Linked DNA regions of Mus musculus: all the other regions are reported to be linked to region 7. The links are microRNA targets in miRTarBase. Many come from high-throughput screens and were not tested one by one. Region 7 holds a microRNA gene; each other region holds the end of a gene's coding sequence.

The links. The annotated mature microRNA mmu-miR-136-5p reads ACUCCAUUUGUUUUGAUGAUGG and lies in region 7 at 1,389-1,410, opposite strand. An mRNA with a match to its seed (bases 2 to 7 or 8) in the 3' UTR can be bound and repressed. Matches are read on the target gene's strand: a 7mer-m8 pairs with bases 2 to 8, a 7mer-A1 pairs with bases 2 to 7 and ends in A, and an 8mer does both.
Region 1: miRTarBase lists Ctla2a as a target of mmu-miR-136-5p. Seed matches in the 3' UTR shown: 7mer-m8 at 2,171-2,177.
Region 2: miRTarBase lists Trim26 as a target of mmu-miR-136-5p. Seed matches in the 3' UTR shown: 7mer-m8 at 1,259-1,265 and 7mer-A1 at 2,074-2,080.
Region 3: the mRNA of Mcmdc2 is a reported target of mmu-miR-136-5p. Seed matches in the 3' UTR shown: 7mer-m8 at 3,207-3,213.
Region 4: miRTarBase lists Igfbp2 as a target of mmu-miR-136-5p. Seed matches in the 3' UTR shown: 7mer-m8 at 4,132-4,138.
Region 5: the mRNA of Slc35f3 is a reported target of mmu-miR-136-5p. The part of its 3' UTR that is shown has no 7-base or 8-base seed match.
Region 6: the mRNA of Nfib is a reported target of mmu-miR-136-5p. The part of its 3' UTR that is shown has no 7-base or 8-base seed match.

What each region holds. Positions count from the first base shown.
Region 1 is chr13:60,932,314-60,935,313 of GRCm38, forward strand. It overlaps Ctla2a (cytotoxic T lymphocyte-associated protein 2 alpha), which reads right to left. Exons shown (of 5, transcript NM_007796.2): 5 at 1,842-2,715. The coding sequence ends at 2,707. Among named protein-coding and RNA genes, the nearest start is that of Ctla2a, 2.8 kb to the right of the region's middle.
Region 2 is chr17:36,856,954-36,861,484 of GRCm38, forward strand. It overlaps Trim26 (tripartite motif-containing 26), which reads left to right. Exons shown (of 10, transcript NM_001025599.3): 9 at 36-68; 10 at 447-2,445. The coding sequence ends at 1,129. It overlaps Trim15 (tripartite motif-containing 15), which reads right to left. Exons shown (of 7, transcript NM_001024134.2): 7 at 3,738-4,531. Among named protein-coding and RNA genes, the nearest start is that of Trim15, 8.0 kb to the right of the region's middle.
Region 3 is chr1:9,939,310-9,943,840 of GRCm38, reverse strand. It overlaps Mcmdc2 (minichromosome maintenance domain containing 2), which reads right to left. Exons shown (of 15, transcript NM_177722.3): 15 at 2,887-3,463. The coding sequence ends at 3,297. Snhg6 (small nucleolar RNA host gene 6) reads left to right here. Exons shown (of 4, transcript NR_024067.2): 2 at 1,124-1,231; 3 at 1,450-1,518; 4 at 1,686-1,816. It overlaps Snord87 (small nucleolar RNA, C/D box 87), which reads left to right and starts at 1,298; the gene lies at 1,298-1,371.
Region 4 is chr1:72,851,907-72,856,347 of GRCm38, reverse strand. Igfbp2 (insulin-like growth factor binding protein 2) reads right to left here. Exons shown (of 4, transcript NM_008342.3): 4 at 3,874-4,350. The coding sequence ends at 4,186. Among named protein-coding and RNA genes, the nearest start is that of Igfbp5, 21 kb to the left of the region's middle.
Region 5 is chr8:126,393,424-126,397,954 of GRCm38, reverse strand. It overlaps Slc35f3 (solute carrier family 35, member F3), which reads right to left. Exons shown (of 8, transcript NM_001363500.1): 8 at 1,998-3,523. The coding sequence ends at 3,288. Among named protein-coding and RNA genes, the nearest start is that of Gm51604, 27 kb to the left of the region's middle.
Region 6 is chr4:82,293,024-82,297,554 of GRCm38, forward strand. Nfib (nuclear factor I/B) reads right to left here. Exons shown (of 12, transcript NM_001113209.2): 12 at 1-3,788. The coding sequence ends at 3,659. Among named protein-coding and RNA genes, the nearest start is that of Nfib, 210 kb to the right of the region's middle.
Region 7 is chr12:109,592,210-109,596,740 of GRCm38, reverse strand. It overlaps Mir136 (microRNA 136), which reads right to left and starts at 1,414; the gene lies at 1,353-1,414. It overlaps Rtl1 (retrotransposon Gaglike 1), which reads left to right. Exons shown (of 2, transcript NM_184109.2): 2 at 1,253-4,531. The coding sequence starts at 1,338. It overlaps Mir434 (microRNA 434), which reads right to left and starts at 2,235; the gene lies at 2,142-2,235. It overlaps Mir432 (microRNA 432), which reads right to left and starts at 1,785; the gene lies at 1,711-1,785. It also overlaps Mir3071, 6430411K18Rik and Mir127.

The sequences.
Region 1 (3,000 bases), not on the chromosome of region 7:
ATGTATTTGTTCAATACTTTTCTGGCATGCAACTGGCACCACGAGGAAAGCAGTGTTGACTGACCTGTAAACAGCTTTGGGGAGCTAGCAAGAACAGGTGTGCAAAGAATTCAGTTCTGTATTCTTTGCCAGAAACGTGTATTCTGTGTAAAGGAGGACAATCCTTGATAACATTCTATCCCAGAGAGGATCTGTAGCAAATATACTGATGTGACTCACTATTGTTTAATTTTACAGGTAGTCACAGTTAATCATCTAAGCAAAAGAATGAGCTCAGGAGGTTTGAACACTTCTGGGAATATGATGACTTTTAAGGTTTGTACTGAAGCAATATGCAGCAAGAGATGGCTGTGTACTATTTTGCATGACTGGGCTCTGTTGGGTTGTGAAAGGGTCACTGGAACATAGACTACACTCCAGTGACTACATCATCCTGTAAATGGATCCTATGTGGTCACAGTATTTGGTACAGAACTGTGGTATGTCCATAGAAAACGATTTTCATGGCTGAGGAACAGGGCAGAGGGGCAGTAAGAGACACCTCTGCACTAATCTTCTTTCCAGTTGCCAGTTATACTTTGTGAATTCATGGGAATTAGCAATTGGGAATCCGAAAAAATTCAATATAGGCTTTCAAATCATTGATAAAAGTAGGCACTAACATCCTGGAACAAGTCCAACCATCCACACCAACTCCAGCAGAATCTGTGTGACGAGATTTACAGACTGAGGTGAATACTTCAAACGAAGGAGGCCTTCTGGAACTGGTTGTGGAACTCTTGCCTGGCACAAAATATTGATCTGTAGTTGTCATGGCAATTTATCTCTTTTGTTATCTCTTACTCTTTTTCTTATTTATCACATGTTCCTGGTAGCCTGGGCTACAATCTTAGGTGAGAATAATGGGTAAGGCACCATCCCTTGAGATGGGGGTCACTAACATGACTTTATCTCTGGGAAAACCAATGCTTTACTTCATAAATCATTTACAAAATTATATCATAGTATTATGATAGATAAAAACTTTCCAAACAATAAAATTTCATATGGCTACATGTGTGTCATTGGAAGTAGGCTTTGGTATATGGATAAGAAAGCCTTAAATAAAAAGAATAAAAATAGTTTAAATTTATGCATTGAAGATTTATAAAAAAACCCAGGCATTAGATGTTAAAAATAATTGTTCATAAAGATTTATTAACCTACTCTTGGAAATATGCCACTAGCCTTTGATGACCGCTCCACTGAATATGTCCTTTCAGAGTGGTAACATTAGGATGATTTCTATTAATAATGATGTTACTTGTTCTGTTTATGATTCACTGAATACATCTTTTCAGAGTTGTAATGCTTGCTTGATTTTTGTGCTTTACTGTTCCAAATAACAATGGTATTTGTGATTGCTTCATTGAACATATCTTCTAAGAGTTTTAATATATATATTTTTTTAATGTATAAAACCCCCTGCTTGAGAGCTGCAAAATACACTCAGATTCAAACTGCCTCTGTGTTTGTTTCTGGTTTTCACTGCCGAATCCTGACCCACCTAGCTTTGAGGACCCTCATTCAAGGGAGCCCCATACCCAACTGGGGTGGTTAATGGCATCAACAAAAAAAGGAAACCTGACTCCCATAATGAGAGAACCATGCATTCTTTCTGTTAGAACACCATGCCTTATACCCGTGTTTATACACATAAAAACTTACTGAAGCAAAATGGGAAAGAAGCAGAATACTAATTTAATATCTAGCTTTAATTTTAAGGCGTCATGGTATATATTCATTTTACTAAAGTGAAAATTAAAGATTGTTATGAGAATCATTTAAACAATTTAGGGCTTGGGCAAAAACTGGTAGTTTATTTATTTATTTTTAAATTAGGTATTTTCTTCATTTACATTACAAATGCTATCCCAAAAGTTCCCCAGGCCCTCCCCCGCGACTCCCCTACCCACCCAGTCCCACTTCTTGGCCCTGGCATCCCCCTGTACTGAGGCATATAAAGTTTGTAAGACCAAGGGACCTCTCTTCTCAATGATGGCCGACTAGGCCATCTTCTGATAGATATGCAGCTAGAGACATGAGCTCCGGGGGTACTGGTTAGTTCATATTGTTGTTCCACCTATAGGGTTGCAGACCCCTTTAGCTCCTTGGGTACTTTCTCTAGCTCCTCCATTGGGGGCCCTGTGTTCCATCCAATACCTAACTGTGAGCATCCACTTCTGTGTTTGCCAGGCCAAAGAACTCACATGATATGTACTCACTGATAAGAGGATATTAGCCCAGAAACTTAGACTACCCAAGATACAAGATACAATTTGCAAAACATATGAAACTCAAGAAGAACGAAGAACAAAATGTGAACACTATGCCCCTTCTTAGAATTGGGAACAAAACATCCATGGAAGGAGTTTCAGAGACAAAGTTTGGAGCTGAGACGAAAGGATGGACCATCTAGAGACTGCCAAAACTAGTAGTTTTATTGCATGAATGTGCCTCAGAGTTTACACCACAGTGTTAATCTTACATGAATTCAATGTTACACTACACAAAGCAGGTGCTGGAAGCTGTGATGGGATGCCTCCTGCTGTTGAGCCTCTCCAGCATCATTCCTCTCATACCAGGAGACAGAAGACTTCCAAGGCAATGGCAGAGTGCTTGCTTCACTTCTAGCCTATGCTATTGTTACCAGTCAAGCCACAGCTGTTACTCTGGCTGGAATAAAAGCACACATCACATTAATTAGAACGGCTGCAGCACAGTGGCTTTGTCACAATACTACCCTGACATATATTGCCTTCATGTTCACCATGTTCAATGCCAAAATACAGTATATCAATCATGAAGAAAAGGTTGTCAGCCACAACACAGTAAAAACTCTCCTCACATTTCAAAGAGCTGAACACTTAGTCAAACAGTGAACTGCATGTTGTTTCACACCTGAAGCAAGTGAGGACTTCAGTTCCTTCTCAGCTTTCTGTGGGCAGCTGAGGGTGGGAG
Region 2 (4,531 bases), not on the chromosome of region 7:
AAGTCATTTCTATCGTTTTCATTTTTCCTCCATAGGCAAGCTGCTGAGAGACTTGGAGTATAAGACAGGTACGTGAACAGAAGGTTGTTCCCATTTTACCCTGTGGAATCCTCACTGGAACTGCCCATAGGCGGCCCCACCCCCTTACATTATTTCAGATCAGTCTCCCGTGTAGTCTGCAGTACTGCTGAGCCTTTGAGGTCACAGGTCACACACCATAAGGTGCTTCTTATGAGACCTTATGAGAGCAAACAGCAGTGGCAGCCCGAGGCCAGAGATCATCTATGCTGTGTGTACCAAGTACCTCAGGGACACAGTTCACAGAGACCATGATATAAAGAGTGCTCGGGAATATATAGAACTGCGCAGTGAGGCAGATACTATGGAGACTAGTCACTCCTTCCCAGCCCACCACTGACACTGTTACTTCCTCCCTTGTCCAATAGTAAGCGTCACCCTGGACCCACAGTCGGCCAGTGGATACCTACATCTTTCAGAGGACTGGAAGTGTGTGACCTATACTGGCCAATACCAGAGTGACTGTCTGCTCCCCCAGCAGTTTGACTGTGAGCCAGGAGTGTTGGGCAGCAAGGGCTTCACATGGGGAAAGGTATACTGGGAAGTAGAGTTGGAGAGAGAAGGCTGGTCAGAGGATGAAGAAGAGGGGGAGGAGGAAGAAGAAGGGGAAGAAGAGGAAGAAGACGAGGAGGTTGGCTATGGGGACGGATACGAAGACTGGGAAACAGATGAAGAAGACGAATCACTGGGGGAAGAGGAAGAGGAGGAAGAGGAAGAAGAAGAAGAAGTTCAGGAAAGCTGCATGGTGGGAGTGGCCAAAGACTCTGTGAAGAGGAAAGGGGACCTCTCCCTGCGACCAGAAGATGGTGTGTGGGCCCTTCGGCTCTCCCCCTCAGGTATCTGGGCCAACACGAGCCCAGAGGCCCAGCTGTTCCCGGTGCTGCGGCCCCGGAGAGTGGGCATCGCCCTGGATTATGAAGGTGGCACTGTGACATTCACCAATGCAGAGTCCCAGGAACTCATCTATACCTTCACGACCACCTTCACCCGGCGCCTGGTTCCCTTCCTGTGGCTCAAGTGGCCAGGAGCACGCCTTCTGCTGAGACCCTGAACTCCAGAACCCGCCTGGGTCACCCTACAGAAACTTTACTTCTCTGAGAGTCCAGGACTCTGAGATGAAGAAAGATTACCTGGATCCCACACCCATGGAAACTTCCCTTCTCTGGGATCCCAAAACTATAATGGAGGAAGGTTCCTGGCCAGAGCACTAGGAGGAGGAGAGAGAGGGACATCACATCCATTGCCACCCATCTCCCCACTGCCACGGCCAAAGTCTCTCAACACTGTCACCCTATCCATATATCTTACTCAGCTTCTCATTTCCTCTGAGGTTTCCTGCTCTGAAGACCAAATGACTCCCTCTTTCCTGAACACACCCATTTGTCTTGTCCCTGTGTTCTTTGTTGAGCAGGGCCTTGGCAGCAGCATTTTCTGGTTCAGTTGTTAGCCAGTGCCCACAGGTAGACTTTCCATCACATCTGAAGCTGTTTTTGCTGTCCTCGAAGTTGAGGTACCCCGTGCCCAAAACCACTCTGTTGCCTACCTTTCCTGGTGTCTTAAATCACTTTTCCTTACCCCACAAGAGTTAAATATGCAAAGATGCAAGAATGGATGTAGTCATGACCCACAGAAGTTTCCAAGGCCGTGTAAGTTTGTGTCCTGGAGTGCTGGTAGAATCATCTCCTAGCGTGAGTACCAAAGTTTCTAGCCTCAAACCCAGACCTGAGTAGGTAGGACTCCCCAGGGACATCTGTGTTTCAGAAAGCATCTAGGTACTATGACTCAGATAGTGACTGTGATCAATAAATTACCTCTGCAGAGCAGTCCTTGTGAAGGAAGTTTTTAAAACAACCCGAACATCTTGCTCTTGACCAGGAGGTCAAGACCTCGTTGCTGACACTATGGAGTGTCCAGATTCACTTTCCTAGGAGATGGACTGGGGAAGGGGAGAGAGGGCCATGAGGAATCTAGAGAGCCTCTGTCCTAGGTCTTACTATGGAGAAAGGGCCTGCAGTATCGCCCTGCTGACCCAGCTGGTGCCCATAGTTGAACATGAGTCCCTGCTTAGCCAAAATGATGCCCCCCTTTTTATCCTTAAACATTCCAGATTTCTTCTGCCCGTGCAAGTGTTAGCTCCTCTTGGCTCTTGAACAGACTGTTCCCAGACACTGGATCTTGGTGGCCTCGGAGTCACCACAGCGTCTCGAGACTGAACACTTCGTATGCATCACATGCTGCCTGAGTCACTAGTACCTACACAGTGGCTCCCTCACCACTCTTTGTTCTAGAGTTAATCATCTTCATTTCCTGTGTCTTTATTACTAAATAAACTACACATTTTTCTCAGTGGTCAGAAATTTCAAGACAGTCATCTGGTGCTGTCTCTTATTTTTATCTTGATGCCTACTGGAGTGAACTTGAACCTGAGCCATTGATTGGTCTCTCTGTAGACAGCTTTTAAATCCCCTTTTGGCATTAAACTGGGGGTTCTGGATCTTTTCCCTCTGAGGCCTGTAGCCCCGCTAGCCTAACTCTCACGTAGCTGTAGATGACCTTAAGCTTCCTGTCTCAACCTTCTAAGGTCTGGGATTTCAGGTAGGTGCCACTATGCCTGTTTTTTTGTTTTTATGGTTTTGGGGTTTTGGTTTTGTTATGTTTTGTTTTTCAAGACAGGGTTTCTCTGTGTAGCCCTGGGTGTCCTGGAACTCACTCTGTAGACAAGGCTGGCCTCGAACTCAGAGATCTGCCTGCCTCTGCCTGGTTTATACAGTGCTGGAGACTGAACCCAGGGTTTCTCACATCCTAGGCAAGCACTCCCCCGGGTGGCATCCCAAGCCCTGGTCCTATTTCTGGACCCCGTGTCTCCTCTCCTAACTTAACTGTGGTTTTGTCACACATTTAATAACTTCTGAGGTGAGTTTGGAAGTTGAATTTTTAAAGCCTTCAGTATCTGGAAATGTTTATCTCTCATACACTTAAGGGATTCTTCAAAATTGTGTTTCCTTCAGAATGTCAGAATTGTTCTACTGCCTTAAGGTCCTGATTTTCAGAATTCCCTTGGGGCTCTCTGCCTCATGATAGTTCTCAGTGGCCTGTTTCTGTTTTACAGATGGGTTTGGGAGCCTTACCTGTATCCCTACTCCTTGCACTAGCACATATGAAGCACATACATACATACATACATACATACATACAATTAAAGGACTGGACAAGATCTCACTATGTAAACATGGCTGGCCTCAGACTCACTGGGTGGGATTTAAAGGCTTATACTGTCACACCTAAGAGGGGTAAAAACTTTAAGATACCTGGGGCAACCTAGAAAAAGGTTTGTGTAGGCTCATGGTTCTGAAGGTGCAGTCCATCGTCATCGGTCTCTATGCTTTTAGCTTCTGTCATGGTAACCTATCCTGGCAGGTATGCTTGACAGAGCACAGTCACACATACCATCAGCCAGGAGACAGAATGAACCAGGCTCCCACAGTCCCCTTCCAGAGCATATGCTAGAGACCCAAAGACTCCACCTTCTAGTCATTTCCACCCTTCGGACCAGTCCTTTAACACCTGATCATTCAGAGGTCTTAAACAGTGAAACAATCTTGCCCATCCTCCTTATAAGTTGCCACAATAAACAGATTAGACACAAAACACAAAGGCCCTTAGGTTACATATTTTATTAAAACATCCTCTCAGAACGTAGATAAATGAGCTGAAGGGGCTTTAGGGTCCACCCAGAGTTGTTGATGAAGCCCTGTAGCATCTCCAGCTTCGTGTCCAAAAGTCATAAATTAGTACAAGTCACAGGTTCCTGGTTACCCTACAGTGGTCATTTTGAAGCTTTTACAGCTTTTTGTTTGCTTCCCTTCCAAATCCCATTGACTCATAGCTTTGCTGGTGTCTAGGACAATGCCTTCCTGTCTGCTGGCTCTCCATTCAGAGAGATCACCGTGTCCAGGAACAGGAGTGAAAGGACTTGCTACACAAGATTCCCATTTGAATGCTAGGGACAGAGCTGGGTTCCAAGGGTGCTGGTGTGTCTGCCGCATTTCCCTGGCTCCACCTTAGTCTTTCAAAGGCAGGCAGAGGAACTTACTTTCCAGGTGGGATAGGGTTAGAAAAAGATGGTGACTGAAGCCTTGGTGTGGGACATTTGCAAGGTCTCTCCCACACCTGGTCACATCTACACTGCGCAGGACAGCTGTGTCTCCTTTTGCATGGCAGGTGGGCGCTGGCCAGTTGGAGCAAAAGTATTATGGCCCAGACAATGTCCTTGGTGCTCAGGTCCTGCCATCCCCTCACCCTGGACACTTAGGGGACCATTCTCATGATGCAGCCGCCACTCAAGTGGCAATCACAGAGAGGACTGGACTTGGCTTTGTGGTCTGTGGGTCCAGAGTGACACCTCTTCCCCGCTTCAGGATGGAGCGGCATCCATCCAGGCTGCCTGCTTCCT
Region 3 (4,531 bases), not on the chromosome of region 7:
AAGGCCTGCTCCTCTGGACGCTTCGAAGTGCGGGCACAAGCGGCCGCTTCTGGCGGCAGCTTTCATCTGGGCCTGCACCCTGGCGGGAGCCCCTTTGTATCCCCAAGAAAAGCCACCATGCGGTCTGTTTCAGGCTTCCTAAGTGAGTAATCCATAGGAAATTTTACAGAGGCGGAAAAGTACTGCTTCTAAGATGTTAAGACCGCCAATTTTAGGCTTTTTTTTTTTTTTGGCTTTTTTTTTTTTTAAAGATTAATAGTTTGATCTGAAGTATTGGCATCACTCTAAAAAGCTTGTATTCATGGATCAACCCTGTAAGTACGATCTAAAGTTGGAGCAAAATTTTCAAACTATTTGAAAGCCACGCAGGGTGGGGATGCTGGCAAAAGAAGGTGGTGGTAAGTTCTGAAGCGTGTGGATACAAAAGAACACTACATTTCAGGCCTGCATGTTATACTTTACTGTTGGTATCTGTAAGCCAAATTGGGTACTCTGGATTTCTGTAAACTCAGCGTTTCAAATATGAAAATGATTAAGGATTTCTCATCGGTTTGCAGGTGATAAGTCATCACCAGTAATCGGTTCAATCATTCATTCTCTGATTTGTGACTCTGGCCATGCCGTTTCCTGTTCTAATGTCCCAGTGATGGTCTGCACAATTGCATATATGCCTCAAGCTTTTCCGTGCAAGCACCAAGACTGAGAAGCCAAGGCTTGGTACTCAGTCCTTTAAGTTAGTACTGGCAGTGAAGGGCGTGAGTAAAATGTTTTTCTGTCTGTGATGGACGGATGATGGGACAGGAACTGAAGCACCACAGGAACCTGGAGTTAGCGGATGCCGAAGCCATGGAGGATGCTATTAGCTTACGCTTTGGTTCTTAGAGAACACAGGGCCTCCAGCCCAGGGGAGGTGGCTGCCCCCTTACCCCAGTCACTGATTATGAAAATGCCTTACAGGCGTGCTTGTCCACAGCCCTATCTTAAGGATGCATTTTTACAATTGTAGCTTCCTACACCAGTGATTAGCTTGTGTCAAGGTGACATAAAAGTAGCCAGTGCACACTCATGCAAGGTATTAAAACATGGAAGTAAAATGAGAGTTCACAAATATTTTAATTTTTAGGTGCAACAAAACCTGCTCATTTGAAGGTGCTTGAACAAATATTTTCTAAACACTTGTCATGGAGAGTGATTGAAACAAGCTGCCAGGACTACATTTGCCAATAACAAGGTACAAATTGTGTGTGTGGTTTTTTTTTTTCTTTGAGGTTTGATTAACAGGGCCTTAATAGCTGGCACAATGATGACTTAAGTTTTTGCCGTTTACCCAGCTGAGTGTTTCTTTGAAGAGAGAATCTTAAAAGACTGAGATGCCAGCAGTATATAGATGATGCAAATGACTAACATGTGACGCCATTGTTAAAATGGGTTACTGTTTGTTCTCCCCAGCATGTAGGTGGCTGTAGTGGATGTCCAACTTTGGGAGCTGTGATGTCTAAAAACCCTTTATTGTTTTGGGTAAGTTTGCTTAATCAGTCATGTATCTGGATTCAATACTGTTTGATAACACTGAGGGGCTGGGGCCAGTTCGTTTTGAAGATCATTAGGGTGAACACCTGGGCCTAGTTTGAGATGGAAGAAAAATGATTTGGGGTTTCTGACTTTTTTTTTTTCCTTTTGGGAAGGTGCAGCTTACATATTGGAAGGTAAAATGAAGGCCATGAACAAAGTCAAGAAGCCATAAACAGAAGCAAATGGTGAAAATTAATATCTAATTTAATATTAATAAGTTATATATAAATAAACAGTTATTCTTAATTGCTGTGGGCAGTAATTTCTTTAAAATGTCATTCTCGTAGTAAAATAAACTCGTCTTTCATGAGCTGCGGACTTTTTGTCAATGCAATCCTGATGGCTGGCTAGTAAGTAGCCAGTAATGCACAGCAGGAAAGAAAGTGATTGGCAATCTGTCTAGGATCACTTGAAACTCTCAAACTGGATTTCCTCGAGTGAAGACTTGGCTAAATCTTTAACCAATAGAATCCCTAAGTTTAGTAAGTAGCTTAAAAATTCAACATTCTGATGACTTGGGCCTTTGTAAGGGCTGGGGAAGTTTAACTGGCTTAACAAGGCACAAAGCTCTGGATTTGATTCCCAGGATAGAAATTTCGAACATTAGGCTTTCCAGGTGTGTTGGCTGTTTAGATAAGAATTGTTTTGTTTTTACCCTAGAGACCTAGACTTAACCACATCATATGAAAAGGCACAAGGCAAGTCTTGTTTGTATGTACTATATCATTAACTTGCTGTTCAGATCAAGTACCAAAATACAAGGTGCTGTGGGACCCTGTAGTACCTACCACCTCCTGGCAGGAAGACGACTTGACCCCAGGAATGTTGTCTTTAGTGTCACTTTGGTTGTATCCAGCAGAAGGCATATATAAGATTTTCACAGCTTTCCTTAACTCTCCACATTTAGCTTTATAAAGCTATATGCCCATAATGCACATGTTAAATAAAGAAAAGCCTTACATAGGCACTTTGGGTCATTAAGTTGCACTGACTTGAACTCATCACTGGTAATTAATGAGCTCAAGCTGGGTATGTTGGTAGGTAAAGTGTTGCTACCTGATGGGTGGAATGAACAAAACCTTTTTCACACTACAATGTTCTCTACTGTGTGTGTGTCCATGATATATATACTGGAGTTTTTGATGTCAAGCTCCTTGGTAACATAATTTCTGTTCTTGGTTTAGATGTTGGGTTAGTTGCAAATTTGTAATTATGAAGGGGCCACATTTCATACTCTAAATGACATTCTAACAAATAACCTTGAGATGATACATAGTCTGAACCATTACTCTGAAATCATACATTTACCAAGGCTTATGGGGCATGAAAGGTAATTTTTCCTTTTTTTTTATTAGGTACTTTCTTCATTTACATTTCCAAAGCTATCCCAAAAGTCCCCCATGCCCTCTCCCCCTTCCCCCCTCCCACTTCTTGGCCCTGGCGTTCCCCTGTACTGAGGCATATAAAGTTTACAAGACCAATGGGCCTCTCTTTCCACTGATGGCCAACTAGGCCATCTTCTGCTACATATGCAGCCAGAGACACGAGCTCCTGGGGGTACTGGTTAGTTCATATTGTTGTTCCACCTATAGGGTTGCAGACCCCTTCAGCTCCTTGGGTACTTTCTCTAGCTCCTCCATTGGGGGCCCTGTGTTCCATCCTATAGCTGACTGTGAACATCCACTTCTGTGTTTGCTAGGCCCGAAAGGTAATTCTTAAATTGCTTATTCATCACTAGAAAAGACAGTTGTCCCAGGTCCACATGTGGCAATAAACTGTTGGAGCTGCTGTTGGCACTGAGTCAGGTAGAGATCTCTTTGCTCTAAATATTCTTCATTATACAGCTCAAATGGAAATAATGCATTGGGAGCAACACAAAATGGAGTGGCCCCTAAATGAAGAACAAAATAGTGTAAATGAGACTTTAAAAATGGAGGTATGTTTCAACAAAATGAGGATTTAAAAGTTAACTACTGAATATTGAGTTTCATCATAGTTTTATTTTGAGTAGTCTTGGCTGGCTTGTGTCTACCTCTGAGCACTGATTATCACATGTAGCTGATTTAAACATTTTAAAATATAAAATGGTCTTTAGTATGTGTTCCCCAACCAGGTTCTAGAGCCCTCTCTCAGGCCCATTCCTCTATACATGTTCTGTATTACGGAATCCTCACCTCTGATCGTTCTCCCCACACTCAGGACCAGGCTGCCCTCCACTACAAGCCTGTGCCATCAGTGTTGACTGTATACTATCATTAGTTTATTGTGTATCATAAATACTTTAGTATTTACATTTGAGAAAACCATCCCTCCCTGGATCTCATCCCCCAGCTACTGCCCTTTTTTCCTCATCAAAGTTCAGTTGTCTGGGCTGTTTCCATAGCCACACCTATCCAATCCTCATTTCTACTCTAGCTCCACACAGGTCTGATCGTGGGCACTACAAAACTCTGGCTTAACAGATGGAATTGTAATCTCCATAGCATGTGTCCAGTGTTCACTCACTTTGGAAACCCTTTCTTTGCTTGTGGAACACCATACCTTTCTTCTATATACTGGTTTCTGCTTGTTAGCTTTTTCTTTTTTCCATCCCATTTCTAAACATGAATTCTTCAAAGACAGTTATATAGAATTCTCTATATTTTAGGTGGTTTCATCCTTCATCCACTTGACTTAAAATACCATCTCTGTTCTAATTCTTATATTTCCAGGCTAAAACTCCTTAAGATTCAGTTTTTTTTTTAAATACTGTGTGTGTGTTTATAGTTTGATTGGCAATGACTTAGTCACCTGACTTCATTTTCTTGCATGCACCTGTACTTAACTGCAGTGCCTGCCCTCATCTCAGCCTTCAGGTTAAATAACCCTTACAGAAGTCTCTTTTATTCTTGTCTTACTGCAATTCTCCAGAGTATTTATCTGTTGTCCAAGTTCAGCTGACATGCATATCATCTCCAGT
Region 4 (4,441 bases), not on the chromosome of region 7:
AATGCTCCCAGCAGTCAGCTACTCCCTGAAAGCTCTCACTATCCTCCTTCTTCCTCGTTTGGATCATTTTCAGGGCTGCCTGGTGGATTCAACTCCATCTCTCCTCTCATGCCTTCTTCTCTCATCCACAATTGATTTCCAAACACATATCTAGTCTTATCCACCCTTGGCCTACGTTCAAGTCCCTCAGCAACACACCACATCCCTCCCGATAGGTTCCCTACAACGTTCCTCTTCAGCTGTCCCTCTGCTGCCTGCGCCCTAGGAATGACACCCATCCTCGGCCGTGTGCAGGCCTCCAGGCTCAGAGTGCAGCTCAGGCTTGAAGGCCTTCCACATGCTGCCTCCTCTTTCTGAACCCAATCCCTTAGAAAACATACACAGATGTGTGCACACGCAAGCTCTATTTCTTCATCTCAACTCTCCATTGCCGCTCCAAGGTGCCTTCCACAAGGCTGCTCGTCATTACACTACAGTGCTGGAGGATATGCCTCTGTCACATCATGCCATGAGACGGTCAATCATTTACAACACGGAAATGTAGACACTACAGGACAGAGGCCGTCATCTCTTGCAGCTCCACATGCAAACACTGCATCACCCTACTTAGCATGTAGTCATGACTACATTTAACCAACACTTACTGTGTGGCAGAAATGAATTTCTACCCTGCAAGCTGTTCTTTCAAACAGACATCATCCCAGTACTTAAAGCTGAGGTTTTAAAGGGTGTGTAGAAGTTAGAAATATGCACAAAGTCATACAATTTATAGTCAGGGACAAGCAAGGTCTTCCCAGTGTTGCTAGCACATCGAAGTACCAAAGATACACTTAGCAGATGCCACAGCTACAGCAGGGTGTCTGCAAATCCAGAGGGCACAGAGGAGGGCCAGCCTTGTGGACACGTACCCATGACATCACCTGGAGCTCAGAGCTCTAGTGTACTGTCTTTGGTGAACTTTCTTATCACTGCCTTGAAGTTCTTAGTAAGAACAAGAGGCCTCATAGTGTCCCAGGCCTTACAACTTAGGTCACTGGCCTTCCCTAGAAATCTTACAAGAGGTATACATAAAGATTCTCAGTCCCTGTTTCCACATCACCTAACTCTGGAAATCTATGGGAGAGCTTGTGAATCCTTATGAGAGAGCACCTCCATTTGACTTAATATAGGTTCCTGGGCCTCCCTTTAACTAATTGAAAAGCCAAAATGAGTTTGGCTGCAGTTACACATGCTGCCACATGGGGGCAGTATGGCCTCAGCGTTTAACAGTGGCCAGGCTTAAACTTCAGAGGTCTAGGTCTCCAGTGAGTGATGTGGGAACACATTCAATTAAAACCCTACCCAACCAGCCCCCTCTTTCAATGAACAGGGGACTAGCAATGGGCAGAGCAGGTTGTGGCAACATCAAGGGACTTTCACAAAATGTTTAGGAAGAAGCTCTCTGAGGCCCGTAGTAGCACAAGGATGACCCTGAAACATCCCTCTGATAGTGTTTCCCAGCAGCCTCCACAGGCTATGACCTTGTTCGTTGAAGATTAAACCATCCCCGCTAGGCCCAGGGGAAAATGCTCCCAAATGGGGATGCTTGATCCAGGGATGAGCCGCAACCTTGATACTGAGCAATAGGGCCTTTCTGGAAACCTTTGCCTGCCTGTAAAATGAAACTGGTAACTGTTTCTGTATCATGGGACTTAGTTGAATTCATGTATCTGTTCCATCCACCCTGAAGTAGCTCTTTTCCTGACAGGGGGTGTTCTCTAAGAATCTAATGTCCTGGCACCCGCCCAAAGTCCCAGGTGTCCCTCACCACCTCCGGATGTGCTAGATGATGAGTCTGAAGGGACTGAGCCAGCCCGCGAGAGAGGCCCCTCCACAGCCAGAGGGCTCAGGTGCAGACTGAAGTTGAGCTCAGCCTTGCACTGGGGAGAAAAATGGTTTGCCTTCCCCATGGCCCACAGCCAAAGGGTGAGGACAGTCCCTGGGCTTCACTGGGGCTTCCGGTACAGACAAAACATCGTGTTAGAGTCCTGCTACACATTGCTTCAAAAAGGGCTCCCCCACCCCCATACCCTGACTCAGTTCCCAGTCTCTTGGTCCAAGTTCTGTTCTTTTTTGAGACAGAGCTAAGGTGTCACCCTGGCTGTCCTAGAACTTGCTCTGGAAACCAGGCTGACCTTGAACTCAGACATCTGCCTGAAATGTGCACAAGCATGATCCAGTCTCAGCCCATGCTCTTTATCCACAGAGACCCCTTTGAAGCTGGCTGATTTGTTGATATGGGGCCAGTCACGCAAGCCACTCCAGGAGCAGCTTCTGAAAGCTCAGGGGTGACCTTTCTGAACAGCCCAGAAGCAAGGTCACCAGCCTTTCCTTGGGGGTTCAAGTGTAATTCCTTGTCCTGGACTGGGGTGGTGGTTTGAATGAAATGGTTTCATGGACCCATAGGAAGTGGCACTGTTAGGAGGAGTGGCCTTGTTGGAGTGGGTGTGACTTTGTTGGAGGAAGGGTGTCACTAGGGGTTCACTTTGAGGTCTCAGATGCTCAAGCCAGACCTGATGTCTCACTCTCTTCCTGCTGACTCTAAATCCAGATGTAGAACACAGGAACTCTCTAGCACCAAGTCTGCCTGCCTATTGGCATGCCACCATGCTTCCCACCGTAACAGACTAAACCTCTGAACTGTAAGTCGATCCCAATGAAATGTTTCCATTTAATTAAATCCCAATCAAAAGAGTTGCTGTGCTCATGTTTGAAGCAGAGACTGAAGGAAAGGCCATCCAGTGACTGTCCCATCTGGGAATCCATCCCGTATACAGTTAGTAAACCCAGACACTATTGTGGATGCCAACATGTGCTTGCTGACAGGAGCCTGATATAGCTGTCTCCTGAGAGGCTCTGCCAGTGCCTGACAGAGGTGAGTACACACAGCCATCCATTGGACTGAGCATAGGGTCTCCAGTGGAGGAGCTAGAGAAAGGACCCAAGTTGGAGCTGAAGGGGTTTGCAGCCCCACAGGAGGAACAACAATATGAACCAACCAGTACTCCCAGAGCTCCCAGGGACTAAACCACCAACCAAAGAGTACACAGGGAGGGACCCATGGTTCCAGCCGCATATGTAGCAGAGGATGGCCTTGTAGGAGGACATCAATGGGAGGAGAGGCCCTTGGTCTTGTGAAGGGTCCCACTGTAGGGGAATGCCAGAACAGGGAATCCGGAGTGGGTGGCTTAGTGAGCAGTGGGAGGGGGGATGGAATAGGGGAGTTCCAGAGGGGAAATGAGGAAAGGAAATAAAATTAAGTGTAAATAAAGAAAATACCTAATAAAAAGAAAATATGTCAGAAAAAAATGAGTTGCTTTGGTCAAGGTGTCTCTTCACAGCAATGGAAACCCCTAAGATACCTGAAAACTCCTTATTTCAGGGGGTAGGAGAGTCCCAATTTCAATGTTCCCCATTTCCCATCTCCCACTGCAATATCATCTGAAGCTTTCTACCGATGTTGCTTTGTATGGGTGTTTATATGCTGTGTAGCCCAGGCTAGACTAGACTCTCAGTCTTACCTGCTTCAGCCTCCCAAAAGCTGGGATTGTGGACTGTGCGTCCAGTGTCCAGTGTCCACACTCTTGTCCTCACTACCCATCTTCCTCAGTCAGTCCAGGGGGGTGGAAACCTTCCTTAGTGCAGCAGAGCCCTGGGTTCCACCGCAGGCCGGCATCTGGGTTCAGAAGCCTTTTTCTTGTCCCCATGTAAGATGGAAACAGTGACTTCCCCGCCATTCCAGGTATTAGGGACAAGGTGGGCATGAGCTCAGCAGACCATCCCCCCCCAAGACTCTTTCCCGGGACACCCCAAAGACTCAAGTAAGACACACACTTTTTATTTTTCCTTCCTTTAATCTTAAGTAAAAGAGACACAGGGATTCAAAAATAAAAATTTCTTTCCCCATTCCCAGGCCTGTACCCAGTGCCCTCCATACCACCCTTCCCCTCTCTAACAGAAGCAAGGGAGGTTCAGCTTAACAGCCGCTGGGGGGGGTCAGAGGGGGGCTTCTGAGCTCAGTGTTGGTCTCTTTCCAAATATAAATACATGTGTCAAAACTGGGAACTCCTCCACACCCGTCACCCTGACGCCCTCCATTTCTGCTGGTGTTCGGGATGGGGAAGCCAGGCACCGACTGGCTGGGGTTTACTGCACACTTTGGGCATGGGCCCCACCAGTCTCCTGCTGCTCGTTGTAGAAGAGATGGCACTCGGGGTCTCCCCGGATGGTGGGAGCTCCCTGGATGGGCTTCCCGGTATTGGGGTTCACACACCAGCACTCCCCGCGCTGTCCGTTCAGAGACATCTTGCACTGAAGGGTAAAAAGAGGAAAACATGGATGCATGCTGGATGCTGGATGCATGCAGTTCCCAGGTGCAGGGTTCTGCAGAACAGGGGCCTGT
Region 5 (4,531 bases), not on the chromosome of region 7:
CTACATAGAGCAGGCTGGCCTCCAATTTGCAGTGATCCTCCTGCCTCTGCCTCCTAACATTTGGGATTATAGGTGAGCCACACACCTGCTTCCGTTCTGGTTGAATCTGGCCATCCCGAGGATCTCAAAAGTAGAGTCACATGGCACCTGTCTGTTTGTGTCGGGTTTGCTTCATACCACTCAAATGCCTCCCGCTACAGAGGTATTGCAGCAGGCGTGAGCGCTTCCTTATGGAGTTCTAAGGCTGAATAGTTCTCCGCCACAGTATGAGCACACTGGATTTTGTTTATGCATACATACCTAAATCCACTCATTCAAACTTCTGCCTGTGAGCCACCCACCCGTTCCCTTCTACCCTTTGGTTATCATGAATAATGATGCTCTGAGTATAGGTGTGCAGACACCTTGTGGGGTGTTTGCTTCCAACTCTTTTTTTTTTTTTTTTTTGTAATTGAAAATTTTTTCATACAATATATTTTGGTTATGCTTTCCCCCTCCCCAACTGCTTCCAGATCCTCTCCTCACCCAACTTCATGTCCTCTGACTCTTTAAAAAAAAGCAATCAACCCCTCCACCCCCAGAAGAACACAAAATAAAACACCCCAGGAAAACACACACACACAAAATGAAGACTGATCAACTAGACAAAAAAAGGTTTCTAAACAAAAGCAAAATGAGACAAAAAGTTTACAAAATTACCACGGTCTTTGTGTTGGCCAGTTACTGGTGAGCATGGTGCCTGCCCTGAGGCTCAAGGGTATCAGATAGCATCTTAGTGGGGTTGAGAGCCTTTGTCTATGTTCCCCTCTCAACACTAGGACCCGGTCTGACTTTAACTTGGGCAGGCCTTGTACACGCTGCAGGTCTCTGGGTTCACATGTCTGTCAGTCCAGTTTCTTTGGAGACATCCATCATTCCTGGCTCTTAGAATCTTTTCGTCTCCCTTACAGATCCTTGAGTCATGAGGGGAAGGCTTTGATTTAGGACAGAGTGCTCCAGCGTCTCTCCTCTGCATCGGCCAGATGTAGGTCTATGTCAGTTCCCCTCTACTGCACAAAGAAGCTTCTCTGATGGTGGCCTGGGGTGGCCACTGGAGATCCCTGGGCTAGAAGGGAGGTCTGAGAGGGTCAGGAGGAAAGAGCTCCCAATCTTTTGTTATCTTTTTTAAAAAAATGTGTTTGTGGCTATCTTGTCTGTATGCATATATGTGTACCTCAAGTGCTTGGTAACTGTGGAAGCCAGAAAAGGGCATCAGATCCCCTGGAACTGGAGTTACAGACAGTCGTGGGCTGTCCTGTGGATGCTGGGAACCAAACTTGAGTTCTTTGAACGAACAGCCAGTGCTCTCACAGCTGAGCCACCTCTCTCTCTAGTTGTTGTTGTTTGGTTTTTGTTGTTGTTGTTGTTTTAAATCAGTGAGCTGATAGGACAAGATACATTTGCTATAGGGCAGGTATAGGGCTAACTTTATAGAGGGAAATGTTTGCCGGGCTGAGTTTTATGAAGTATTCAGTGGTGGAGGTGGCAGGACACAACCTTGCCACCTGTGTTGCCTTTTGGACTTTCTGGAACAGAGACATGGGTGATGTGACCCCATCTTTAGGAACCCTGCCTTCCAAAGCTCTGCCCAAGACACTTGGGTCTTACAGCTTGTGGCCACAGCTGCCTAGACACAGCTTCACGACCCTCCTGCCTCTTCCCCTTACTGTTACAGGGGTGTGTGTGTGTGTGTATGTGCACGCGTGTGCATTTAGCCATGCTCAGCTGTTTACACGAGTGCAGATGCTTGTACAGCAGGTGTTTTACCACTGACTCATCTCCTGCTGCACCATCCCTTCAGCCCCACAGACTTAGTTTCTATGTCTGTTGCCATAGCAACAACCATCTTCCCTCTGGCAGCTAGGCAGGCTGCACAAGGACCCTTAGTGGGAGGTCACCGGGAGGCACCAAAAGTACACTCAATGCTTTTTTTTTTGTTTGTTTCAAATGTTTTATTAATCTGTTTGGCCAAACAAGTTATGGAAACTGAGAATAATTGGCTAAAAAGTTCAGGTCATGAGTACCCCTTCCCCCCAGGAAACGAAAGACTCCATGGTTCCAGAATGCACCTTTAGGATATGATACCATTTCAAAATCAGGTTCCCATTTATATGTAACAATGTAAACTTCAAAAATAGTAAACTCTAAGCCCAGTCCCTCTGTACAGATCTATCACAGATAGAAGTCTCCGGCAGACCTAAATTGTGTAAGTAAACAGCCCGGCGCTTAAAAGTTTCTTTAAAAGGCTTACAGACTCAGTAAATAATGTTTCAGTCTTGGTCTGGAAGTGAAAGCCACCAGCCGTCCCTCCCACACAGTGCACCTGCTGTGCATGTCACACACCGCCAACCACCCTCCAAATACACTGGCCACTGGCTTTGTCACGTTTAAACACACATATACACATATAGTTTGTGTTTGTTTTTTTTTTTTAAAGATTTCTACATCTAAATTATAAGACGGCGCCAGTGACATATAATGTCACCTCGCTTCACATAGGACAGAGATGCTGTAGAAGGCACTGAGTTCTCCTCATGGTCTTGTGAGACCAGACCAGCTAGGTCGGAGTTCTGTTTTCTATCATGTGACCCAGCACAGGCCTGTCCTCCGTTTATCTTCATGTCATTATCCTTTTCTGCTTTGCCTCTCTTCCTTTCCTTTCCCATCCACCCATCTGTCCATCAACCGTCTATCCACCTATATGTTTATCTATCCATCGATCGATCCATCCATCCATCCATCCATCCATCCACCCACCCATCCATCCATTTATCCATCTATCCATCTACCCATCCAAATTAACTGACAATTATCTTTTGGTTCATTGAGATTCCTTAAAATTAAGTATACAGTTCTGGTATAAAACAAAATATGACCTACTATAGCTGAAAAATAATCACAGTGCACAATGTCACTTTCAATTGCTAAGAGGCAGAGCCTTTGCCCTGGCTTGTCCAGCTTGCCTGTCCTCTGAAGAGACCGACACAAGGCTCATTTTACCTCGCTTTACATTCATTTAAGAAGCGCTGAGAGGTTCTTTTCTCATCTGTTTTGAATCGGTACCCTTAGTGGAAGGTCTGACGTGGAAAAGTGCAAGCAAATTGGACATGCCAATAAATACCGTAGAACTTACTGCAGTTACCAAAACTGTACATGTATGTACACCTCACCCAACTGAGGTTCCTCCATCAGGAATAGACCTCAAAAACATTACCATGGGTGCATCCCAGAGTTCTAGAGGAGTTTTCTCAGCGAGCGAAGGATGGGCGGGCTCTTCTGCTCCTGCTCTGGGGACCCGTGCCCAAGTCCCCGCTGCTCTCTGCTGTCTCCTCCTTCTTCCTCACTTTGAGGCGGGTGAGCAACTTGATCAACCAGACATCCCACTCTTCTGGAAGGAGCAGGAGGAGGAAGCCCAGGCCGATAATGATGATGGCGATGACCCGGACCCCGTTGAAGACTATCTGACTGGTGTAGTGATCGACCACTGTGGGAGACAGAGCACCGGTTACTCAGTCTGTGGACGTGGAGATACGTCTGAGCATCCGACAGGGCAGGCCAGGGCCACCTGAACCTCTCAACACCTGTCTCCTCTGAGGCCTTGGGCTTGGGTGTCGCCATCTGAATCTAATCCAGCACTAAGTAAGTTGGTGACTTGAGTGTGAGAAAAATAAATCAAGGGTAACTGGGAGCACACACATAAAATTAGACATGGTGGGGGTTTAATTCTGGGTGATTTGGGCTTCAGGATGAAGAAAATACTATTTTTATTTATATTTTAGGTACTTTTCACAGTATCTGTGATGTCATACATGACATTTATTTTATAATTTAATCTCACTACATGTGTATGTGTTTTGATAAACAAACCTGACCCAGTTCTTTTAGGATACTATTTGTGAGTTTTCTTTTTAAAAGCTTCGTTTATGTATTTTAATTTGTTTGTTTGCTTGCTTAGCGTGTATGCATATGATCTTGTGAGTATCAGGGGCACAGTGTGGTCAAAGGACAACTTTTGGGAGTCATTTCTCTCCTTCCACCTTGCAGATCCCAGTAATTTAACCTGGGTTACCAGGCATGGTGGCAAGAGTCTTTACCCAGCCATCTCTCCCCCCACTTTGTTTTTGCTTCTTGAGTCTCACGTAGCGTAGCCCTGGCTATCCTTGAACTCACTAAGTAGCTGCGGATGGCTTTGAAGCCATTGCCTCCCAAGAGCTGAGGTTACCCGTGTGTGCCAGCATACTCAGCTGTAATGGAGAGTTCTTGTTATCCATGCCCATCGATTGCGGTGAGGCTCTAAGCCTCAGGTGATGCCCCTTTCCCAAGGGCTTCACTAAAGACACTTGACCTGTCCTGATGAACAGTCAGTCAGGTCACAGGAGTAACTGGGAGATGGATTGAGATCCATCTGTAAAAATCTAATCCTTCTAACAGCCACAACGGTTCTCGGAGCAACCCCACTGTTGAAGGCACCTTCTTTTCTATTTGGGGACAC
Region 6 (4,531 bases), not on the chromosome of region 7:
GAGCTGGTGGTGGGAGACACCACCTCCTAACAGATGCCCTTGGGTGACCTTCACCATCCTGAAGCTCTGCAGTCTGGGTAAGGAAGGGGCGTGCAAGACCTGCAAAAGTGGGGCCCTTCGTCAGAATATACTTCCTGGTTTTAAAAAAAAATAGAAGGCTAAACGTGGATTCGAGATTTTCTATAGTAGTGCTTTTTTAATAAGTTTATCTCAAAGAAAAGAAGAAACATTGAACTAGGTTAAAAAAAAAAAAAAAAAAGGAACAGTTGCCCTAGGCCTCTGTACCCAAGAGGCAGGCAGGGATGCCCACAGTGTGCCATGTACTTTAGCAACAATTGTTCATTCACGGGTGACAAGGAGAGGGGACTGCCTGGAAAGAATACTGTGTCCTGTAGGGTTGCACTCTTCAGCAAATAGGTCAGAAAGACACTATGAGCTTGGCTGAGAGGATGTGTTATCTGCAAAGCAAGTAACAGACAAGGCTGGCCTTTCTTAGAACCTGCATCCTAGAATCCCACTGTGCTAACCAGCATGTGGTCATGAATGGACTAGTCAGATTTAATTCCCGGGCTTCTGAGCATCGTTCTCATGAACTCACTATTAAATGATCTGCTATGCATACACTTGACAGTTTATTTACTAGGGCAGGGCCTGGGGTGGGGCTGGGGGTGGGGTCAAGAGAGCTTCTTTACAGCCGACTGCGTATGTCACTAATTCCTAAAGATCTCCTTGGAGCAATGGATACACTCAATAGGACCAGGTGGGGGATGGGGAAAAGACAAAATAAAATTGGTCTCTATTCACCTGTAGTCCTCAGGGGAAATTAACTCAAATATATACTTGAAGTACCACCCGTTCAAATCAACCCCCACCATCATTATCAAACACACTTAATTCATCCACAGAAAAATTGGTTGCTTAAAATTCTATATTTCCCTCTGCTCCACTTTCCAGTTTACAAGGGCAGGTAAAATAAGAGGATTGATTTATTCTTGTTCCTTAAAAACTGAACTTTGATTTTACTCTATCAGTCCAAATACATCCAAGAAGAGCAACCCTCTCTCTAGTCAACCTTCTGGATGTCAAAGAAGAAGATCCTAGGTGCAACACCATTCATTTTGAAGTAGTAAGTCACAGGAGCAGCCTATCCTGTCATTAACAAAATGACAGAGGGCGGGGAGGGACTAGGGGAGCTCTCCCTCCAGATGGGGGAATGTGTTTGGTAGAAGAAAGCTTATTCCTGTGTTAAACTCAAAAGTGTGAAACAGCCAACATCTGCTATGTGGGCACTTCAAGAAATGTCTTTGCCAAATATGAGACAGGCTCACTTTCCACTGTGGTTTCAGGAACTTTCAGGAAAAAAAAAAAAAAAGAAACAAAAAACTATCAATAACAACTAAAATAAGACAGGGCAGTTCCTCTAAGTTGGCCTCTAGGAGGCTTTTGCTGTGCTTGCTTTTTCTTCCTGGTTTCTTAGCTTGGAAACCAGAAAGGAGTTCAGCTTGCACTCCAGGTGGGAAAGTACGGGGAGGGGTGGAGGGAGGGAAACCTGTTTAAGTTGAAGTTTGTCACAGTAGGCAGAACAGTTGCTTTGCAGCCCAGGCCCATCTCAGGGTGCAGTGCTTCACTGCTACACTGTAAAGGGTTAAAAATCCTCCCACCCACCCCTGAATATATATATATTTATATATGTATATTAAAAAAAATCCCCTGTCCATCTCTCAGTACACAAAAGGACCTCATCACACTGCAAAAATAGCAGTACCCACTTTGGTCAATTAAAACAAACAAACAAATAAACAAACAAACAAAAAAAGCATACATTATTTCTTTTTTAAATCTGTGTACTTACCTATAATAACCAATACAGCTAAAAGCACTACCTACATAGGCAAAACTTGGTATTGCATAATTCGTATAAATTTGAAACCCCTCCCCCCCAAATATTAATTGGAAGATGAAAAACATGAAAGGTTAATAGAAAAAACACCAAAAATACTGAAAATATTGCTGGTCGATTACAATTTTTAAGCGGCAACTATACACAGCCATGATATGCTTTATAAATGTGAGATAAAGGTGTAACTGTCTAAAAAATCCATGATGTCACACATTTTTCTTCGTCTGGAGTACAAAATATTTTGTCATAAAAATGGTAAAGATTTAAAACGATAATAAATGCAGCAAAACAAGTGTAGTGATGTCACTTTTGTGGTTTTTTTTTGTCTTTTGTTTTTTTTTTTTAGATTTCAAGGCAAGGCACGTAATGTGGACATTATATCTTCGTGCAAATTAGGATTACTGGAAAGAGTACTTTTAATTAAAATTTTAAGAGACACAGAGGCAGCATGTGTCTGCCCATGCACACTATAGATCTGTCAATACGAGAAATGTGTTGAACAAGGCTAATGTCCGAAAGCACCATGCATGTTCCCAGCACCCTGATGGCACTTCTCTGAAGAGCGAGCGGGTTTTCCTAGCCTACCTGGCATTCCCAGCCTGTACACGGGGAGCTTTACCCTTGTGACATGGATTTCCCTGCCTCTTTGTCTCTACGATGCAGATTGTATAGAACCGTTTGTACACCCTATGGGTTCTTGATGCAACCAGTAATTTTAAATAAATAATCTGACCTCTGAGGAGGCTGCAGCTAAGCCAACCTAAGTGCTGTGTTTTCAATATTTTTTTTATTTTTTATTTTTTTTCTGTTCAAGCACATGATTTGTCTTGATTTAATGCCTTATTTTAAATGCCCTCAAAAACTGAGGGGAAAATAAATTCGCTCAAAATTATTTTAAATTCTTTTTAATCCCCTCAATTTAGAGTCCAAGGGCTGAAGGACTTATAATCATGATTCCCCTTTAGATATAAATTTATAAATTGCACTTGCCTCTGTTAAGTGTTTCTTTTGTGGGGAAAACATTATATTACTTTTTACTGTTGCATGCAGAGGTAACCCTTTACCCACATAGAGGCATTTCTTCCATAGAGCCTTTGAGTTCAAACTGTTTTTTTTTTCCCTATTTTTCTTTTTTCTCTTTTTTTTTTTTTTTCCTTTTTAAGATTTCAAACTGGGTTACACACTGGAAAAGGCTGGGTTAAGGGCCAAAATTTAATAAATCTGTACGGATAACTAAAGGCTACAGAGATTCTTTTATATATATATATATATATATATATAATTTTAACTTTTAGAAATCAGAGTGCTTATAAAATGGCTGGCTCATGGCTCTGTCCCCAGCACCTCTGACGCCGCCTCCTAGCCTTCGTTGTTGAGATAACCAGGAATAGTGACTCCATGCGTAAACAACAAGAATACTAACCAAGAAAACTAGCTTATCATGCAAATATTAAGGCATCTAGAAAGTCAGTTAAAATATATTGTCATAGAGACAGAACATCTATTTCCCAGCGGACTTCATGTAACAAAGGCTACGGTGCAGGGGCTGCAGTCTAGCATCAGTGAGATGTCATTGACCCTTTCCTGTCACTATAGTCTCAACCTTAAGGGAATTAGTGACTGTAAGTGCTGCAATGCTGGTCTACCGTCTTCTTTCTTCAGTTTCTCTCCTTTCTCCCTGTTGTCCAGTCTTCCTCTTTTCCTTTGTTGGGTGTTTTTCCCCTAATTTTCTTATACTATGGTTGTGGTTCTTTCCCCTCAGTTGCTTGTCTCCGCTTGAAGGAAAGGCTCTCCAATTATGTTCAAACCATAATTTTGGACATTTGCCGGTAAGATGGGTGTCCTATTTGACACTTGAAAAGGAACCAAGCTAGCCCAGGTACCAGGACTGTTGAGAGGAGACGGGAAGAAAAAAAGAAAGAAAGAAAAAATAAGACAATGTTAAAATCTCCAGCCATATCATAAATATAAATTCAAAATGCATTAAATTACAACTATTATATTTTTAACTTTTTAAACCAAAATTTTAATAAAATTTAATAATTAATAGCATGCATTGACTTTGCTATATTATATATATTATGCTTATATACATATATATGTACATACATGTGATAACTTCTAGATTATACACATCATACAGGTGTAATCTATATGATCTCTTGCTTCCATGAAAAGACCTAACTACTATGCAGAAAAACACAAAATGAACTATATTCACTATATATAATTGCTGAACTCTAGTTAATTAAGGAGACTCTTTTTTAAATATCTGGCCCATTTCAATGCACTGTATGCAATATGATTTTCATTGTTCAAACAAAAAAGACGAAAAGCATAAATTTGTAGCCATACTAGACTACTGTAGTTTGCTAGATACATTAGTTGTGTTTAATCTTTAATTCATAAGACATTCTGGGTGAGGTGGGTTTATCGACCTGTTGGGTTACATACATTTGAAAATGTAATGAACTACATATTCTTTTCTCTCACGTGAGAAAATAATAGAGTTTCAGGCATGTGCAATATATAGTGAAATACCTAATGATCACACATAACTGAAGAGTTTTAGACAACCAAGTGGATGTCTATCCTCGACCACACAGAGCCCAGCTGGTTGCATTCTGTACA
Region 7 (4,531 bases):
GCTGAGCTATTGAATAACTAGCTTAATTTGTTTTGCAAACCAATACATCCCTTTAAATTCAATTTCCGTGCACTAAACCCTCCATGGCTAGATTTTCAAAAATTACGGAACAATCAGATTTCAAAGGTCCCATGCCCCCCCTTTCACCCAACTTCATACCTCTGTTAGATATACCCCTGTACCAGACGAAATCAACAGTGACAGAAAAGGGGGGGGGGGCACTTTTGAGAACGAAAACCCTGCTCCTGCCGAAGCAGAGGAGAAACTTGGAAAGATAGCATTTGTGAGACGTGCAGAAATGTTTGCATGAGCAGAATTGAGGCCAGATGTTTAAAGCTGCAGGAGCCCTGCAGACCAGGCAATCCTGGGAGAACAGTTTTTTTGAAAGCCCGGGAAAGGGTGTTTAGAAAGCTCCGACTCAGCTCAGAGCTGGAGAAAACGTGGCTTTGGACAGAGATCAAACCGAACAAGAGAAATGATACTATCCCTCCCCCACCCCCCTCTTATCCTGCATATGCACAAAGTGTGACCTAGGATGAAGCCATGAAAGTGCATGTTTTCAGCACATAGTAGGCATTTTATAAACATTTATGGGGAGCAAAATTAAAACCAAAAGCCATGGCTCTCTCTCACTTATTTCGGCTTGGAGCCTAGAGGAGGAAATAAGAGCTATTTTTGGCTGTTGACCCAACTGGCAGGATAGTGGCCAAGTGCCCAATTTCTCCTCTTTCCCCAGTTTGTGAAATAGCAGGCATCTCCCTGCAGATTCCCGCCTCCAACCAAGCTCACTGGGCTGGCTCTAGACCACCAAGCCTGCCAGCAGCCGCTTTGAGTGGCATTGAGATGTGACCTTTATGACTTTTGGGTGACTACAAATGGGAAGGGAACCTGGCCAGGGCAAAGCGGGCCAGAAGTGTGCCCTGCCAGGTGCTAGCTCGCCACAGAGGACGCTCCAGGCCAGTTGCTCCACAAAATTTATGGGCTGTGAATTTCTCATTCCACTAGAGGAAGTAGGCAGGTGGGGTAGTCAGACTCCGCCTGGAAGGCAGGTCAGGGGGTGACGGTCTTTCCCCTGGAGGTGCCCCAAGTAACCAGAAAAGGAGGCTGAACTGAATGCAGGAGGAATTTCTCCATTTTCTCTCTGATTCTAGTAACTTGGCATCTGCTTTGTCCTTGAGATAGAATCTGACCCTGCCATCTTGAGAACCTAAATTGCTACATTTTCTCCTGTCTTTTATCCCTCTGTCCCTAGGTTTTGGTCTCCACAGTTGCGGTCTCTGACCACACACATCACAATCTTACCAGTCTTCAGAGCACACTCCTTTCCAACCGACGACATGATAGAACCCTCTGAAGACTCATTTGAGACGATGATGGAGCTTAAGAATCCATCATCAAAACAAATGGAGTCCTCCGAGGGCTCATCCAACACCGTTGAAGAGACACCAGGCAGCAGTGGAGCCCAGGCGGGGGCCCAGGCAGGGGCCCAGGCGGAGGCCCAGGCGGAGACCCAGGTGGAGGCCCAGGCGGAGGCTCAGGCTGAAGCCCAGGTTGAGGCCCAGGTTGAGGCCCAGGCGGGCTCAGATAGTGGCCCAGCCCAGGAAGAAAAGGAGCCACCCAGTGGCCCCCTCAAGGAAATGCAAGAGCTGCCCACTAATCTACTCCAAGAAGTGGAGGAGCCATCCAGTGGCCCCCACCAGGAAATGCAAGAGCTGCCCACTGATCTACTCCAAGAAGTGGAGGAGCCATCCAGTGGCCCCCACCAGGAAATGCAAGAGCTACCCACTGATCTACTCCGGGAAGTGGAGGAGCCATCCAGTGGCCCCTACCAGGAAATGCAAGAGCTACCCACTGATCTACTCCGGGAAGTGGAGGAGCCATCCAGTGGCCCCTACCAGGAAATGCAAGAGCTACCCACTGATCTACTCCGGGAAGTGGAGGAGCCATCCAGTGGCCCCTACCAGGAAATGCAAGAGCTACCCACTGATCTACTCCGGGAAGTGGAGGAGCCATCCAGTGGCCCCTACCAGGAAATGCAAGAGCTACCCACTGATCTACTCCGGGAAGTGGAGGAGCCATCCAGCGACCCCTGTGAGGCATCATCTAACGATCTACCCCAAGACATGGAGGAATCAAGTGATGATGGTTCGAACCAGGAGTCGAGTGATGGTTCAAACCACGAATTAAGTAATGGTTCAAACCATGAGTCGAGCTTTGGTTCAAACCCAGAGTCGAGCGATGTTTCCAACCTGGAGTCAAGCGGTGGTTCAAACCAGGAGTCCAGCGATGGTTCACAAAAGGAGTCAAGCTATGATTCAAACCCGGAGTTAAGTGATAATTCAAACCAGGAGTTAAGCGATAATTCGAACCAGGAGTCAAGCGACAGTTCAAACCAGTCAAGTGATATTTCAAACCAGGAAGGGTCGGAACCACTCAGTGAGGCATCCGATTATAGCATGGATGAAACAATCAACTCATCCGAGACCCAGTCAGACCAAGATGATACTGACCTGGGAGATGACGAGGAAGAGGAGGAAGAGGAAGGTGGTGAAGAGGAAGGTCAGCCCAAGAACTCTCCAGAAGAAGTCGTGGCCACCATGGGGAACGTCATCTCGCTGTTCCTCCGGATGCAAGACCTAAAAGAACAACAGAGAGTGGCAGAAAGGCTCATGATGCAGGCTATCAACGAAGGTCGCCTGCCCTCCCTCAGGCCCTTCTCTGGAGATCGCAGAGACTACCATGAGTTTGTCGTGCTCTGCCAGATGACAATGCAGAACTACCCAAGTATGCTATACAATGATGAGCTGCGGGTGAAATTCGTCATCCGCCACCTGACTGACCTAGCCTTGGAATGGGCCAACGACCTCGTAGAGCAGAACAGCCCAGTGATAAACAACTTCTCAGCCTTCCTGGAGGCCATGTCAGAAAAGTTTGAGTATCGGCAGACCCTGCGTGTGGCGGAAGACGCCATGTTCAACATCAGGCAGGGGAACCGCTGTGCGGCCGATTACATCAATGAGTTCCGGGGTCTGATACCCACCTTAGGCTGGCCAGATGAAGTCCTGCAGGCCCACCTGTGCCAGGGGCTCAACGAAGAGATCAGGCACTATCTGTTCCGGATCCCTCAGCCGAATTCCCTAGACAACCTGATTGTACTTGTCCTGCAACTTGAAGAAAAGCTGGCAGAGAGAAGAGCATTACTCAGGCTGCCACCTGAGTCGCGCCCAAGAAGCGTAGCCTGGATGGATGCTCCCGCCCCAGAGAAGTGGAGGGTAAGCAGCTGGCTGCCCAATGAGTTCCACCCAGACATTGATCGCGATCACCTCTTCTTACTGCTCTTGGTGAGAGTGGACCCCTACCACAGTGTCGCAGTGCGGGCCCTGGTGGACTCAGGAGCAGAAGGGAACTACATGGATGAGAGGTTTGCCCAGGAACACTATGTGGAACTCTATGAGAAGCCTTATCCACAGATAATCCAAGGTGTGGATGGCATCCCAATTGGCAATGAACCCGTCTGGCTGTGCACCGAGCCCCTGGTATGTGTCCACCAGAAGCATTATGAGTACATCGAATTTGACATCTTACCTTCGCCCAACTTCTCCATCGTCTTAGGCATGAAGTGGCTCCGAACCCATGCCCCTGAAGTCGACTGGATGAGAGGCCGGTGTACCTTCCACTCTCCCTACTGTCTGCGGAATTGCTTCACCCCACCTCCACCATGCATCGCACTAGAGACATACAGCATAAGCCTACTGCCCGGATTGCCACACACATACTCAGACCTGGCCGACGTGTTTAACCCGAGGGAGGCAGATGATGAGACTTCCGACCAGCCAAGCTCAGACGGATCCGATGATCTTTCTGAATCAGAGCCCTCTGAGCTTCAGCAGGCTGGAGACAGTGATCAAAGCGGCGTCTTTTACGAGTCTGGGGCCCGAGAGACTTTGGAACCTGTGAGCGCCAGGATGCAAGAGAAAGCCAGGCAGCAAGAGAAAGCCAGGGAGCAAGAGGAATACTGGATACTGTATGACATGCTGACTGACAGACAAGACTACACGCAGATGGTACCAGAGCTATTCGACCAGCTACATGGAGCGGCATGGTTCACAAAACTGGAGCTGCTTGGGATTAAGGAAAGTGAGATGAGGCACACGGTCACACACACGGAAGACACTTGGAGAGCATCGTTCGGTTTCGGCCTTCACCAGATGAGATGCTACCGGCCCTTCACAATGAACTCATACTCTGACGAAGGGAACAACATTGTTCACTTCATCCTAAAAGACATCCTAGGGTTGTTTGTGATTTGCCATGGCAGAGAGGTCCTGGTCTACTCAATGAGCCAGGAGGAACACTCCCAGCATGTCCGCCAAGTCCTGGTCCGCTTTCGGTATCACAACATCTACTGTTCACTGGACAAAACTCAGTTCCATCGCCAGACCGCTGAAATCTTGGGCTTCAACATATCCCCCAAAGGGGTGAAACTGAACAAGAACCTTATGAACCTCATCGTGGGGTGCCCTGTCCCTGG